Caenorhabditis elegans: one gene and its partner. The protein of the gene in region 2 purifies or fractionates together with the protein of the main gene of each other region. This does not show direct contact. Each region holds a gene or a part of one and is shown on either strand. Other genes may lie near its edges. The genes, in order: crh-1 and crtc-1.

Evidence for each region.
Region 1: the proteins of crtc-1 (region 2) and crh-1 purify together in Caenorhabditis elegans (affinity purification with western blotting, with the first as the bait; one study listed by BioGRID). This does not show direct contact.

Annotation. Positions count from the first base shown.
Region 1 is NC_003281.10:11,681,244-11,686,243, reverse strand, and holds the start of crh-1 (CREB homolog crh-1), read right to left. Parts: upstream 3,283-5,000; coding exon 2,816-3,282; intron 1,035-2,815; coding exon 941-1,034; intron 1-940. UniProt on the Caenorhabditis elegans protein: Transcription factor. Transcriptional activity probably positively regulated by phosphorylation. Modulates expression of target genes, acting by binding to regulatory cAMP response elements (CRE).
Region 2 is NC_003279.8:2,024,472-2,032,441, reverse strand, and holds the start of crtc-1 (CREB-regulated transcription coactivator 1 homolog), read right to left. Parts: upstream 6,127-7,970; 5' UTR 6,030-6,126; coding exon 5,928-6,029; intron 4,618-5,927; coding exon 4,540-4,617; intron 4,237-4,539; coding exon 4,105-4,236; intron 4,054-4,104; coding exon 3,848-4,053; intron 2,769-3,847; coding exon 2,430-2,768; intron 793-2,429; coding exon 315-792; intron 1-314. UniProt on the Caenorhabditis elegans protein: Transcriptional coactivator for crh-1, the homolog of vertebrate transcription factor CREB1. Regulates the transcription of metabolic genes and may have a role in mitochondrial dynamics and metabolism. Involved in modulation of lifespan.

The DNA of each region.
Region 1 (5,000 bases), on a different chromosome or scaffold from region 2:
CATAACTTTTTTTTTGAGAAGTTTTCAAGAAGTTTCATTATAAAATTCGGTGTTTTCAGACAATTTTGAGTCTAATAAGGCAATAAAAACAATTCGACTACACCACCTTTAATCGTAAATATACAATGAGGATTGCTCATCCTTTTTATTTTCAATTTTCGTGTATTCAGTGTTTTTTTTTCATATTAATTCCCTATGTTTTAATCGTTCCACGGAAACCCGTAGGCATGGAATTTAAATTTAAAACAAAAAAATTAAGTTAGTGTTGTATATTTACGTGCTTGTTTAGTCCTTCAATTTCTACAATTTAAGGTTTCATTCAAAAAAAAAGTCAGGAATTTTTTTTTCTGACCAACTTTTTTCTAGTTCAAAACTCTCAAAGGCAACTAACTAGGTAGGCGCTAGAACGCCTGCCTGCCTGGCCTTGGCATGCCTCTCGCCTCACAACAATGCACATTGTTTTCCTTTCTTAATTTGATTTTTAACAAATTAATAGAAATTTGCAAATTTGAAAATTCACGTCAAAGTGCAGAAAATAGGCGAAAGGCTGGCGGGCAGGTTTCAGGCAGGCCCTGAAACCGAGCCTGCCTACCATGGAAGCCCCCCGGCTTCTGGGGCTGAAAAATATTTTTTCTGAAACTACCGTAACCCTACAGTATTCCTACTGTACCATTATTGTACCACTACAGTACCCCGACTATATCCCTACACTAAGCCCAACTCACTATCCCTCCAGAAGCTAAAACTTCACAGACTACAAAAACTACATAGACTACAAACTATGGACAAACGGAATAAGCGCTTTATATATAGTAAATGATATATATATATCATTTTAAAAACACCATCAAATTCCGAAATTTCTAATTTTTAAAAATTTCAAAACCCAGAAAATGCCGAAATATCCCAGCGCACCCCTGCTCTAGACTATCCTTATTACCTGTAATGGTGAAGCATCTACACTGGACGGCGGCGTCTCCTCCGGCTCCTTCTTCATCACCTTATCCGCCGTTTCTAGATCTTTGAGGATCATGCTGAAATTATTGATTTTATTATTTTTAACACTTTAATATTTCAAATGAGAACCTAAAAAATTTCAATCACTATCACCCTACCTGGACAACAAGCTCGTCGACATTTTCAGCCATCAAAAGCATAATACTCAAAACAAAAAAACTTAAATTCGCATCTCTTGCAGTGCCGCGCCGCTGAAGGAAAAAGGAGTAAACTATGACGTCAGCGGGGTGGCAAAAAAAGACGGTGGAGAAACTGATAATCGCTGATAAAAATGAACGAAAATGATCAGTGACGTCATCAGGTACAACACCTTGTGTCTTGTTTTCTTACGTCGCGATGAGAGAGAAATTTTTAAAAATAGAATTTTAATTACTTTATGAGTGACGAATAAATATTAGCAAGATGGGCAATTTTGAAATTCACAAATTTTTTTGTCGACAAATTCGGCGATTCGGCAAATTGCGGGAAATCTTAATTGCCGGCAATTTGCCGATTTTCCACAAATTTAAATTCCGGCAATGTGCCGATTTTCCACAAATTTAAATTCCGACAATGTGCCGTTTTGCCAGAAATTTCAATTCCGGCAAGTTGCCGATTTTCCGGAAAAAAAATCCTTTGTAGCCCATCCCTGGGTTGAATATAATGGGTTGAATAATACTCAGCTGCTAAATTTTGCGTTTTTCGCCTATGCGCCTTTAAAAAACGCTGAAATTTCAAATTCTTTATTTTTCGATAAAAATCATTTCAGTTTAAAAACCAGAGAGAACCATTTCGATGAAAATTCAATAGTTTTCTAAATTACTTGTACTCCTCTATTAGTACGGCATGTCTAATATGTTTTATTGCATTTTTTAATAAAAATCTATATAAAATTATATTATCCTTTACTATATAGCATTATTATTCACACTTCTGACTGATTGTTGTAATCATTTTGTATTCTATATGTTTTAATTTCGTTCAGTTCATCACAGCGGCTTCAAATCGGCTTTAACTGACTCAAAAGTGCGTCATTTTGATACAAAAACTCGAAAATGCTCACATCATAGTGTGTGTGAAATTTTTTATTTATGCACCAAGCGGCGAGAACCCAAATGTCTTTTCGAGGTCAATGACGTTTGATTGACGACGACGACGTGTTTTTCCGCAGAGCCCGGAGAGCACTAACAATAGATGTTGAAGGTGTTCCGGAAGGATATCCGGACTCCGGAGCAACTCGAATGTGGTGGGTCAACCGATTATCTTCGGGGGAACGGAAATGGGAGCTCGTTTGACACGAGCAACCGGGTCGCAATTGGTTTTCTAAACTGATCGATATGCCTAGGCTTAGCAGCTAGGCTCGGCTGCTAGCTAGGTCTAGGCTCAGCAGAGATTCTTATTGAGTAATTGATAAAATACTAGTGATTTATGTGTCCTTTTCAAAAAAACCTCAAGTTTGGGATAATATTTTAATTATATCAGTGATCAACTAAGTAGTAACACTTTTTAATAGGCCTCAAACTACTTCCGAACCTTTTTCACAGTTTGAGAACGTTTAAGTTGATAATTGTGTTAAAAACGTAGTAATATGTAAATTCAGAGGTTGAATAACATTTTATATAAATATGGTCAATAACGCAACGCAGATATATATATATATGTATATATACTTATTTGTTTGAATACAAAAGCACGATTTTTGTAGGTAACTTTCGAGAGGATTAGTACTTATGGTTTGGGGTTTGAATATTTTAATTCCCATGTGTTCAAATTTCACGCTAATGAGAATACCATGACTCATTGATGTGCATTATCTAACCTTCTCTGATTAAATGATAGTCTGCTCAGAACGACCATGGCAGCATCTTTGAACCGAATCCGATTATTTCCATTCTCGAACGGTGGGGTGCCTAACTGGTAGAGCGCATTTGGCGGGAAATTCGCCATCATTGCTTGAGCTGGCAAAAGTGGTGTGAAGCCCGGCAGTGGCGCATATTGCTGTGGAAGAACCACCGGCGGCGGAATCATTCTTGCCGGCGGTCGGAACGCGGAGAGCGTCGCCGTCGACGCCGGTGGAAGTGGTGAAGACGAAGACGTGGCGCCCTCTGAAGCTCGTGCGAGAAGTTTTTTTTTTGTTGAAAGATCAATAAGAGGAGGTAATGAAGCGGAGAGATGTGAAAAATCATTGAAGAGGAACGATAAAAAAGAATGGAATATTAATTTCGAGAATAAATGTGTCTGACTGACTATTCTGATCTTATAAATTTCTAATATAAATTGTCCCATCATGAATCACCGCGGGTACCTACAAATTTGTGAATATTTGGCAAAACAAAGCTTGTTGATCTGCAGTTGCCACGTGAGAAGCTTCATACTCCTTACATGAGAAAAATGCAAGGCATCGTGGGAATGTTGAAAGATCATAGTTTGATCATTTAGATGTTTGCTATAAAGGATTAACGTCTAATTAGTGATTATGATATCTTTAGTAGGATCCCAAGGTCATAGTCTTAATGTCGGTAGTATCAGTAAAGTGATTTTACAAAAAAACTTTAATTGACACCGCAAAATCCAAACTAGTTCAGAAAAAATTCCAAAATTTATATTCAGAATAGCTCAATATGGAAGAAAGTCTGCGAAATAACCAGGAAGTGGGCGGGGTTAAAGGTGGTGTAGTCGAATTTTTTTATTGCCTTATTAGATTCAAAATTGTCTGAAAACACCGAATTTCATAATGAAACTTCTTGAAAACTTTTCAGAAAAAAGTTATGACGGCTCAAAAAATGGCCTAAATTAGTTAAAATCGGAAATTTGACCAACTTCTCAATGTCGTAGCGGCTGGAAACAATTTTTTTTGAAATTACCGTTAAATTTTGAGTATACAAGTTGATTATCTTGCGTTTTAAACTTAATTAAGGTATTTAAAAGTCGATGGACGGCGAGTTTTGGATTTAAAAAATTAAAAGTTTCGCCGTCCATCGATTTTTAAAAACCTTAATCAAGTTTAAAACGCAAGATAATCAACTTGTATACTTAAAATTTAACGGTGATTTCAAAAAAAAATGTTGCCGCTGCGACATTGATAAGTTGGTCAAATTCCAAATTTTAACTAATTTTAGGCCATTTTTTGAGCCGTCATAACTTTTTTATGAAAAGTTTTCAAGATGCTTCATTATGAAATTCGGTGTTTTCAGACAATTTTGAGTCTAATAAGGCAATGAAAAAAATTCGACTAAACCACCTTTAAAGTTGTATAAAAAACTCAAATTCCAAGAGAGGTGTGAGATTCTCTTTAAACCAAACTTTGGAAACTATAGAAAAAGATCTATGAAGTCTATGAAGTTGTGCTGATTACAAAACATCCAATAGCACAGAAAGACTCTCTGCTGCTAATCTGCTTAGTATTCAGAGAAGAGACGACCTAAAACCAATGTTCTGAGGGTGGAGGTCGGGTGCTCATTTCTAATTAAATCAAGCACACACATACACACACACACATACACAGAGAGAGGGGCACAAGAACCACCTTCAAGATGATGATGATGATGTTGAAAAAAAGAAGAGAAATGGAGGGAAAACGGTCCATATCAGATTTCTTTTCCTCCCCCCCCCCCCCTCTTTTGAGGTGGGGGTGGTAATGGCTGCTGACTCCGCCCCCACCACCACCAGCTCTCTACTCGAGTAATTCAGTGAGATATTGAAGAGAGCGGAAGACGAAGAGATATCTCACCACCACCCACAACTTGTTGTCCTCTACCTCTTTTCAGAGAGAAAAAAAAAGAGTATGTTGCTCTTTGGATAGAGTTGACCGCAATTTGTGTTTTGTTGGGGGATATGGGTTCTGGGAAATAAATATATTGATTGGCAACAGTGTTGTTTTAGAATTCGGCTATTAAACAACTTGCAGTTCACCGAATATTTTAAAACTTAAAAAGAGTGGCCAAGTTTGTCGAACAAATCAGAAGTTGCCTTTTTTCAAACGATCGTCGAATCAGTCTGTAGGT
Region 2 (7,970 bases):
GATCTCCGAAAAATGCGGGAGAAGAGACGCAGAGTTCTCAACTGATTTTGCATGGTTAAGAACGTGCCGACGTCACATTTTTTGGGCAAAAAAAATCCCGCATTTTTTGTAGATCAAACCGTAAAGGGACAGCCTGCCACCACGTGAGGGGCTGTTCCATTACGGTTTGATCTAGAAAAAATGCGGGAAATTTTAGCTCAAAAAAAATGTGACGTCAGAACTCTGCGTTTAAATTCCCGCCTTTTTTGTAGATCTACGTAGATCAAGCCGAAATGAGGCAATCTGACACCACGTGAAAATTCAATACAACCTACATTAAAATCATTATACGAATCAACATGATGCCCAGGTGCACCTTCAGCATTTGTAATTGTCAATTTCGGAATATCCAATGCCTCCGGTGAATTGGAGAATGTTCTCGTCGGCCACATGGGCGGTTGATTCGGATCCAATTGATTATGCGGTGACGTCGGCGCCGACTGTGATTCGGGTGTCAACGCTGGACCGGGTACTAGCCTCGGACCACATGCACCTGTACTATGTCTTGGTCCAATTGGAGCATGATAGTATCCACCACCAGGGGCTCCCCCGTTTGTATAAATTTCCTGTTGCTGTTGCTGCTGCTGTTGCACATTTTGAAGATTGGGTAAACTTCCGGCATCTTGATTGAAATCATGCATTCCGGGAGGACTTACTTCCATATACGGAGAGGGTGTCCCTGATCCATCGAGCATTAATGTTGAGGCATGGGGTGAATCCATCGGTGAATGGAGTGGTGAGCCATTATGATACCTGGAAAGTATGCGGATTATCGTTTGAAAAAGTGTCATTTTTTAGGTTTCCCTCATATTTTGAAATGGAAGAGTTTTTGGCGGACTAGGCCAGGCCATATCTTGGGTAGGTTTACGGCGCGCTGCGTGTCGCGTCGCGGCTCGGTTTCAGTGTCATTGTGGAGTACACGACTTTCCCACGCGTTTCCCGAAGCCGATTGTCAATGGAGCGCGAAAAATTCAATGAGAAAGGTTTTTTAAATTCCGCAAAAACTGAAAACTCGGGCATGATGAAAAATTTGAAAAAAAACCAGATAGATAGATTTTCCAAAAAAAAAAATTGCCGGCCAAAAATTTTTTTTTTTTCAGATTTCATAAACAAATAGGCCACGCGGCCTTGAAAAAAGCTCGGCCACGTTGCACACGGGGTTCTGGCCTTCCTCATTGAATTTTTCGCGCTCCATTGGAAATCTTCTGCCGGACAACGCGTGGGAAAGTCGTGTACTCCACACGGACAAATGCATTTAGTTTTACAACTAAAATCGAGCCGCGACGCGACACGCAACGCGCCGTAAATCTACCCCAAATATGGCCTGGCCTAGTTCGGCAAAAACTCTTCCATTTCAATTTATGAGGGAAGCCAGAAAAAAAAAACCGAAAATCTACTTTTTTTAAAGGTTTTCATTCGAGAAAATCGCCCAAATTACTGAATTCTGTTATTTTTTATTCGAAAATTTACGTGGCCGGGCATATTTGCTACAAGAGAAAACTCGGCCACGTAGCAGTTATTGGTGTGTTCTAAAAAATCCGGAAATAGGCCCCGAAATAGGGAAACTCGGCCACGTGGCAATTTCAAACGAAACTGCTGATATCAGTCCCATTGGAAATTTTACGAATATAACACAATTTTGTAAAAATTTTGCAAAACTTGAAATGGAAGAGTTTTTGCCGAACTAGGCCATTTTAGCTCGGGCACGGCCGGGGTAGATTTACGGCGCGTTGCGTGTCGCGTCGCGGCTCGATTTTAGTTGTAAAACTAAATGTATTTGTCCGTGTGGAGTACACGACTTTCCCAGTCCGGCAGGCGATTGTCAATGGAGCGCGAAAAATTCAGTGAGGAAGGCCGGAGCCCGTGAAAAATAATATTTTAGGAGCCTGGAAAATTGAAAGGTGGCCTAGGAAGTACAGAAAAGTTTAGAAATATGGGACGGCCTAGAAATTTCAACATGGCCTAAAAACTTTTGATGGCATAGAAACTCCAAAAAAGTATTAATGAGGAAAGAAAGAACCCCGTGCAAAGTGTCTGTGTAAAAAATTGGTGGCTGATTTTTTAAAAAGATTTTTGCTGGTCGGCACTTAAAATTAGATGCTGAAATCGTAATTTTACGGGTAATTGCTCAAAAAGTTTGGTTGGAAAACTCGGCCACTCGGCCACCACGCCACGGCCACGTAAACTTTGCAACCACGTGGAGTTAGAAAGTCCCATTTAGCTTTGATCTTCGAAAAATGCGGGAGGTGAGACGCAGAGTTCTCAACTGATTTCGCATGCTTAAGAACGTGCTGACGTCACTATTTTCTGGGGAAAAAATCCCGCATTTTTTGTGGTTCAAATCTCCAACTTTATATCCCCGGGCCACTTAAACTTTGCAACCAACTCACCCATACATAGGTGTCATCATATGATTAGGTGATTGTAACGGTGACATTCCATTATTGCCTCCGCCCATTTGTTGGTTATTGCCCATTTGTAATGGTGGAGGTATCTGATGATGCATCTGAACCGGTGATCCTTGCTGCGATCCTTGAGGTGTTAACTGAGGTGAGTGTTGTTGTGATTGACTGTTCGGAGCCATCATTCCAGATGGTCCAGGCATCGAATTTTGAAGATAATGAGGCATTTGATGAAATGCCATTTGTTGTTGTTGATGGTGATGTGGATGCATTGGAACCATACCGCCCATGTTATGAATTGCAGGATCCGAACGTGCACGATTGATTCTGCAAGGTCAAAAATTGGCTCTGATTTTTCGAATATATATATTAAAGGATTAAATTCAGCGAATATTTGCAACAAGACTGCCCGACTTTCGGATACGGGTAATTTAGGTAGAAAAATGGTTTTTTTTTCGTGAAAAAGGCTGTGAAATGTCAAATAAATATTGAATCGAATATCAAAAAAATTGGTTCGGAATTTTTTTCCAAAACTTTGTTTTGTTAGTTAAATTACTATGTGAAATTACAGACTCAGTCATTGCGTATTGGTGTCATTAAAGTGATGAAAAATATTTGCAAAAATGAGTTTTTAAATTTTGAACGGCTGTAACTTTAGAAACATGCAAAGCAGGGTTTTTTTGGTTTTTTTTTGCGAAAAATTAATTCGAAAAATCTAAAAATTGATTTTTTGGTTTTTTTTTAGTCCAAAAAATCCAAAAAATGTTTGCCGTGTCGAGTCTCGACTCGTGACTATTCTCTATTAGTAGGGTTATTCAAGTAGTGTCGGAAAATTGAAATGTAGAAAAATTACGTCACAACTGTATCAGAATCCATTAAAACATGTATGTTAATACATTTTGCAACATTATTTGAATAAACCCATTAAAAATAAACTCAAGCATCAATATTTTTTGGTTTTTTTTTTGGATTTTTGAATGTAAAAATAGTAATTGCCACCTTTTGACAGTAAATAAAAAAATTTCAAAAAATTTGGCCACCTTGTTTCATCTATACCCATTTCTGAGCTACGACGGCCATTGGAAGTGTGCTAGGTACACGTTTTGAAAAAGTCCAAATTTTGGATTGTAATTCCAAAACCAGTTATTTGACAAAAAACTGTCTACTCAAAAAACAATTTTCAACTATTTATAAACGTTTTATAATATCCCGTTTGTTGTCAAAGATTCAAATCGATAAAGAAAAAATACAATGTTTTAATACGAATAATTAAGGCAAAATTAAAGTATAAAAATGTAGTTCGCAAAAATTTGCATTTGAAATTAAAAAAAAAACTTCTCGCTGACGCTGATTTTTAGAGAAAAAAAACTCAGTTTTTAAATATTTATCAAAATTCAAAAACTCACTGATTCCACGACTCGGGCGGCACAAGCTGTCCAGGTTGGTTATACGGGGGTCCATAGGGCGTATACTGCGGGTGTTGGGGAGGCGTTCGATCGGGCGATCGTGATAATCCATTCGATCTCATTCCATACGGATGATAGTGATGTGATGGTGATCCAGATGCACTTCCGATCATGTGATCCTCTGGTGATCGACTTCGATGTCCTTGCTGTAATGGAGTTCGTTGCTGAAGAGATTTACAATTAGGAAAAAAACTTACGATAGGTCTGTGTTGAATCTCGTGCTGCCAATTTGGTGGCCATTGTGGTGGAGAGTAGGATGGCATTTGATGGACGTTCGGCAGGGATCCTCCGAGATTGTGACCCCATGGTTGTTGAGGTGGAAGGAGACCCTGGAATATGTTCATTCAATAGTTTATACTAACATTTGAATAATTGTAACATTTTGATTTTAAAGGTGGAGTACCGAAATTTGAGACTTTGCTTTTTTAGACCTAAAATGATACAAAACTACCAAATTCCGTAATGAGACGTTCTGAAAATTTCTAAAAAAAAAAGGCAAATTCTTTGGAAAGTTTCAGGCAGTTTTTGAGATATTTTTCAAGTGTTTCGATGAAAATGGATGTTATTTTCAAACAGAAAAAATATGTTTCTATATTTCCACAATTATTTTCACTTTTGTAGATTCGCCTTACCTGTTGCGGAATGGGCATTGGTGCAGTTGCCGTCGATGATCCTGATGAATCCGTCGGATGATGGGTGATTGATTGCACCTGAATAGAAAAATATTGGCATCTTGCTACTTAACATTTTTACGGCCATTGTCATTGCGAAAAATTTTGAAAACCGGCAATTGCCGAAATTGCCCAAAAATTCATAAACACGGCAATTACCGAAATGGCCGAAATAGTCAGAAATTTCAATTTTCTGCAATTGCCGAAATTGCCAAAAATTGCCAAAAATCCATAAAACCAACAATTGCCGGAATTGCCGAAATTGCCGGATATTTCCAAAACCGGCAATTCCAGAAATTGCCGGAAATTATCATTTTTGGCAATTGGCAAAAATTTCCAAAACCGGAAATTTCCAAACTTACCGGTTGCCGAAAATTTCCAAAACCAACAATCGACGAAATTGCCGATTGCCGGAAAGTAACAAAACCGGCAATTACCGGAATTGTCGATTGCCGAAAATTTGAAAATATTAATGTTTGAAGCACAAGTAGACTATAAAAATGAAATAAAAATTTTATTGATCTACGACTTCCAAAAAAGTGGCAAAAACGGAGATTTTGCCTATTTTCAAAAACTCATATAAAATTTAGAATTTTTTTTTATTTTAGTTTTTTTTTTTAATGTTTTGAAACAATTGGCGCTATTTCAGTAGACATTTCCAATTTTTCGATTAATTATTCGATTCGAGACAATTATATTTTTCAAGTAACTATTATCCGCTTTTGATACTAAAAAATTGAAAGTCATGACTTTGATGAGTTTATGAAAAAGTTGAAAAAAAAAAATTCTTCGAGTATAACTTGTCAGGGGCGGGTGGCAAACGATTTTTTCCGGCAAATCGGCAAATTGCCGGAATTAAACATTTCCGGCAAATCGGCAAACCGGCAAATTACCGATTTCCCGAATTCGCCAGAATAACGGTAATTTGCCGAAAATTTTCGGCAAATTGTGGTTTCGCACTATTTTTTGGAAATTTCAGAATTTCAATTTCAAATGGCAAAATTAAACGCATCCTATGAATGTTCCTACATCTATTTTGAAAAGTAAGCATATTATATGAAAATATCTAAAGAAAACGTTTTTAGATTTTTCCGTCTTATAAAAAATCCCTCTAAATATTTCCGGCAAATCTGGTAACCGGCAAACGGCAAACCGGCAATTTGCCGAACGGCAGTTGCGCCCACCCCTGGTACAACTGTTAAATTTCTTTAGTTTCGCCCAAAAAATTATTTTTACTAATTTTTTGTTAGTTCTCAACAAATGTTAAATTTTCAAATAAAAACGCAATTTAGAAAAACAAATTTTGCATTATATATATATATATATATATATATAGCTAATTTCCAAACCTGTCGCATAATATCCTCAAACGTTGTATTCTCCTCATTCTGTTTCCTCTCGAGTATTGCAATCTTCTCACTGAACTTGCGTGGTGTATTCGAATTTGACATTCGCATCGCTCCCAGGGAGAGAGCGATTTCGTCGGTCTATTTCCGCTATACTTGGGGGAAATTTCAGATGGAGAATTCAAATGTTTCGATGTTTTTCCTGCAGGTGATTGAAATGAGTAAAATAAAACGAGCAAGGGAGAGAGAGACGGGAAAAGATCAGAAAATGAAAATGAAATCCGAGAGCTGAAGGAGGAGGTGAGGGTGGAGGAGAAGCCTTGAGAGAGAGAGAGCACTTTCAGAGATTAGACACACATGCACACAAGGATATATATATATATATCTAAAATCGGAAAATGTGTCGAGAGTAGTATGGGGGAAATTTGGGAAACATTGCATTGCGAGAAAATTTCATTTTGCCGAGGAGAGCAGCGTGACCGATAAAATTTAAAAGTTCGGCCACTATCTTCTTATGGCCTAGTATTTTGGAAAATTAGGCCATCAGGAACATCAACGGTATCCCCACGTGACCTGGCATGGATTTTCTCATAAATTTAAATGGAAGAGTTTTTGCCGAACTAGGCCATTTTTGCTCGGCCATATCTGGAGTAGATTTACAGCGCGTCGTAGCTTCATTTTAGTTGTAAAACTAAATGTATTTGTCCGTGTGGAGTACACGACTTTCCCAGTCCGGCGGGCGATTGGCAATGGAGCGCGAAAAATTCAATGAGGAAGGCCAGAACCCCGTTACCTGGGATTTTATCAAGTTAGGCATGGAGTAAGTGGAAAAGTTCGACCCAGGGTTAAAAAATATAGAAGATTTTTCCTTGTGGCCTAAGAAGTTGAAAAATTAGGCCACCTGGAAAGATGGCCTTTGAGTTTTCCCTGTAGCCTAGTTTTAGGAAAAGTTAGGCCACCTGAAAAAGAGGCAAACTAATTTAGAAAATCTAGATGTGGCAGATAAATTTCGAAAGTTCGACTTTTGGAAACTTATTCTAAAATTAGAGAAGATTTTTTCTGGTGGCCTAGGTTTAGGGAAAGTTAGGTCATCAATATTTTCTTTAATTTTCCCAAGTGGCAGAACAATTTGAAAACTTCGGCCACCAAAAACTGGTTGATTTTGGGAAGTTAGGCTATTAGTTGAGAGGTCCCTGAGATTTTCCCTCGTGACCAAGAAAAGTTTAGCCTGGAAAATAGGTTTTTGCACAATATGGCCGAGAATACATAGAAGTTAGGTCAGATTTCTTTGTGGCCTAGGATTAATGATAAGTTAGGCCATCAGTTTTTCTACGTGGCCTAGAAATTCAATTTTTTTCAGAAAATTTTTTTGAAATCCCGCCAAAATTTTTCTCAGAAGATTTGAATTCCCGCCAAAATTTTTTTCAGAAAACTTGAAAAAGGCTCGTGTACTCCACGTGTACAATTTTTTTGAAAAAAATTAACGGAACAAAATATTTCAACACAAATTTAAATAAATGACTCATCAATAATTTTTTTTTGAAAATTTTAACTTTTTAAAAGCTATACAAAAGAGCAATTGCCACGTGGCAATTAAAAAAATCTAAAAATAAGCTGGAAATTGGCTGAAAAAAGAGGAAATCAAGGAAGCTGACACATACATAAAAAAAGAAGAAAAAAAAAGCAGAAAGAGAGAGAGAGAGAGAATAGATGGTGGTGGCCGGTGAGAGACTTAGAGAAAAAGACAAAAAAGAGCATGTGATAAGGCTAAGGGCGTTGTGTGTGTGTGTGTCGCTCCGAAATGAGTGAGAGAGACGTTTACCACTTATTTCGGGAAGTGCTCAGCGCTAAATTTAGGAGAGATTTAGTTTTTTTTTTTGCCGGAAAAATAACAAAAACTACAAAAAGATTGAAATTATAGGGTTTTCTCAGCAAGTCTAGATATTTAACATTTTCGCAACATATAATTTAAATTTTATGTAAAAAATTTGGTAAAAACGTGGCCGTGGCCTAGAAAACCTGATATATGGCAGAAGTTTAGCAGTG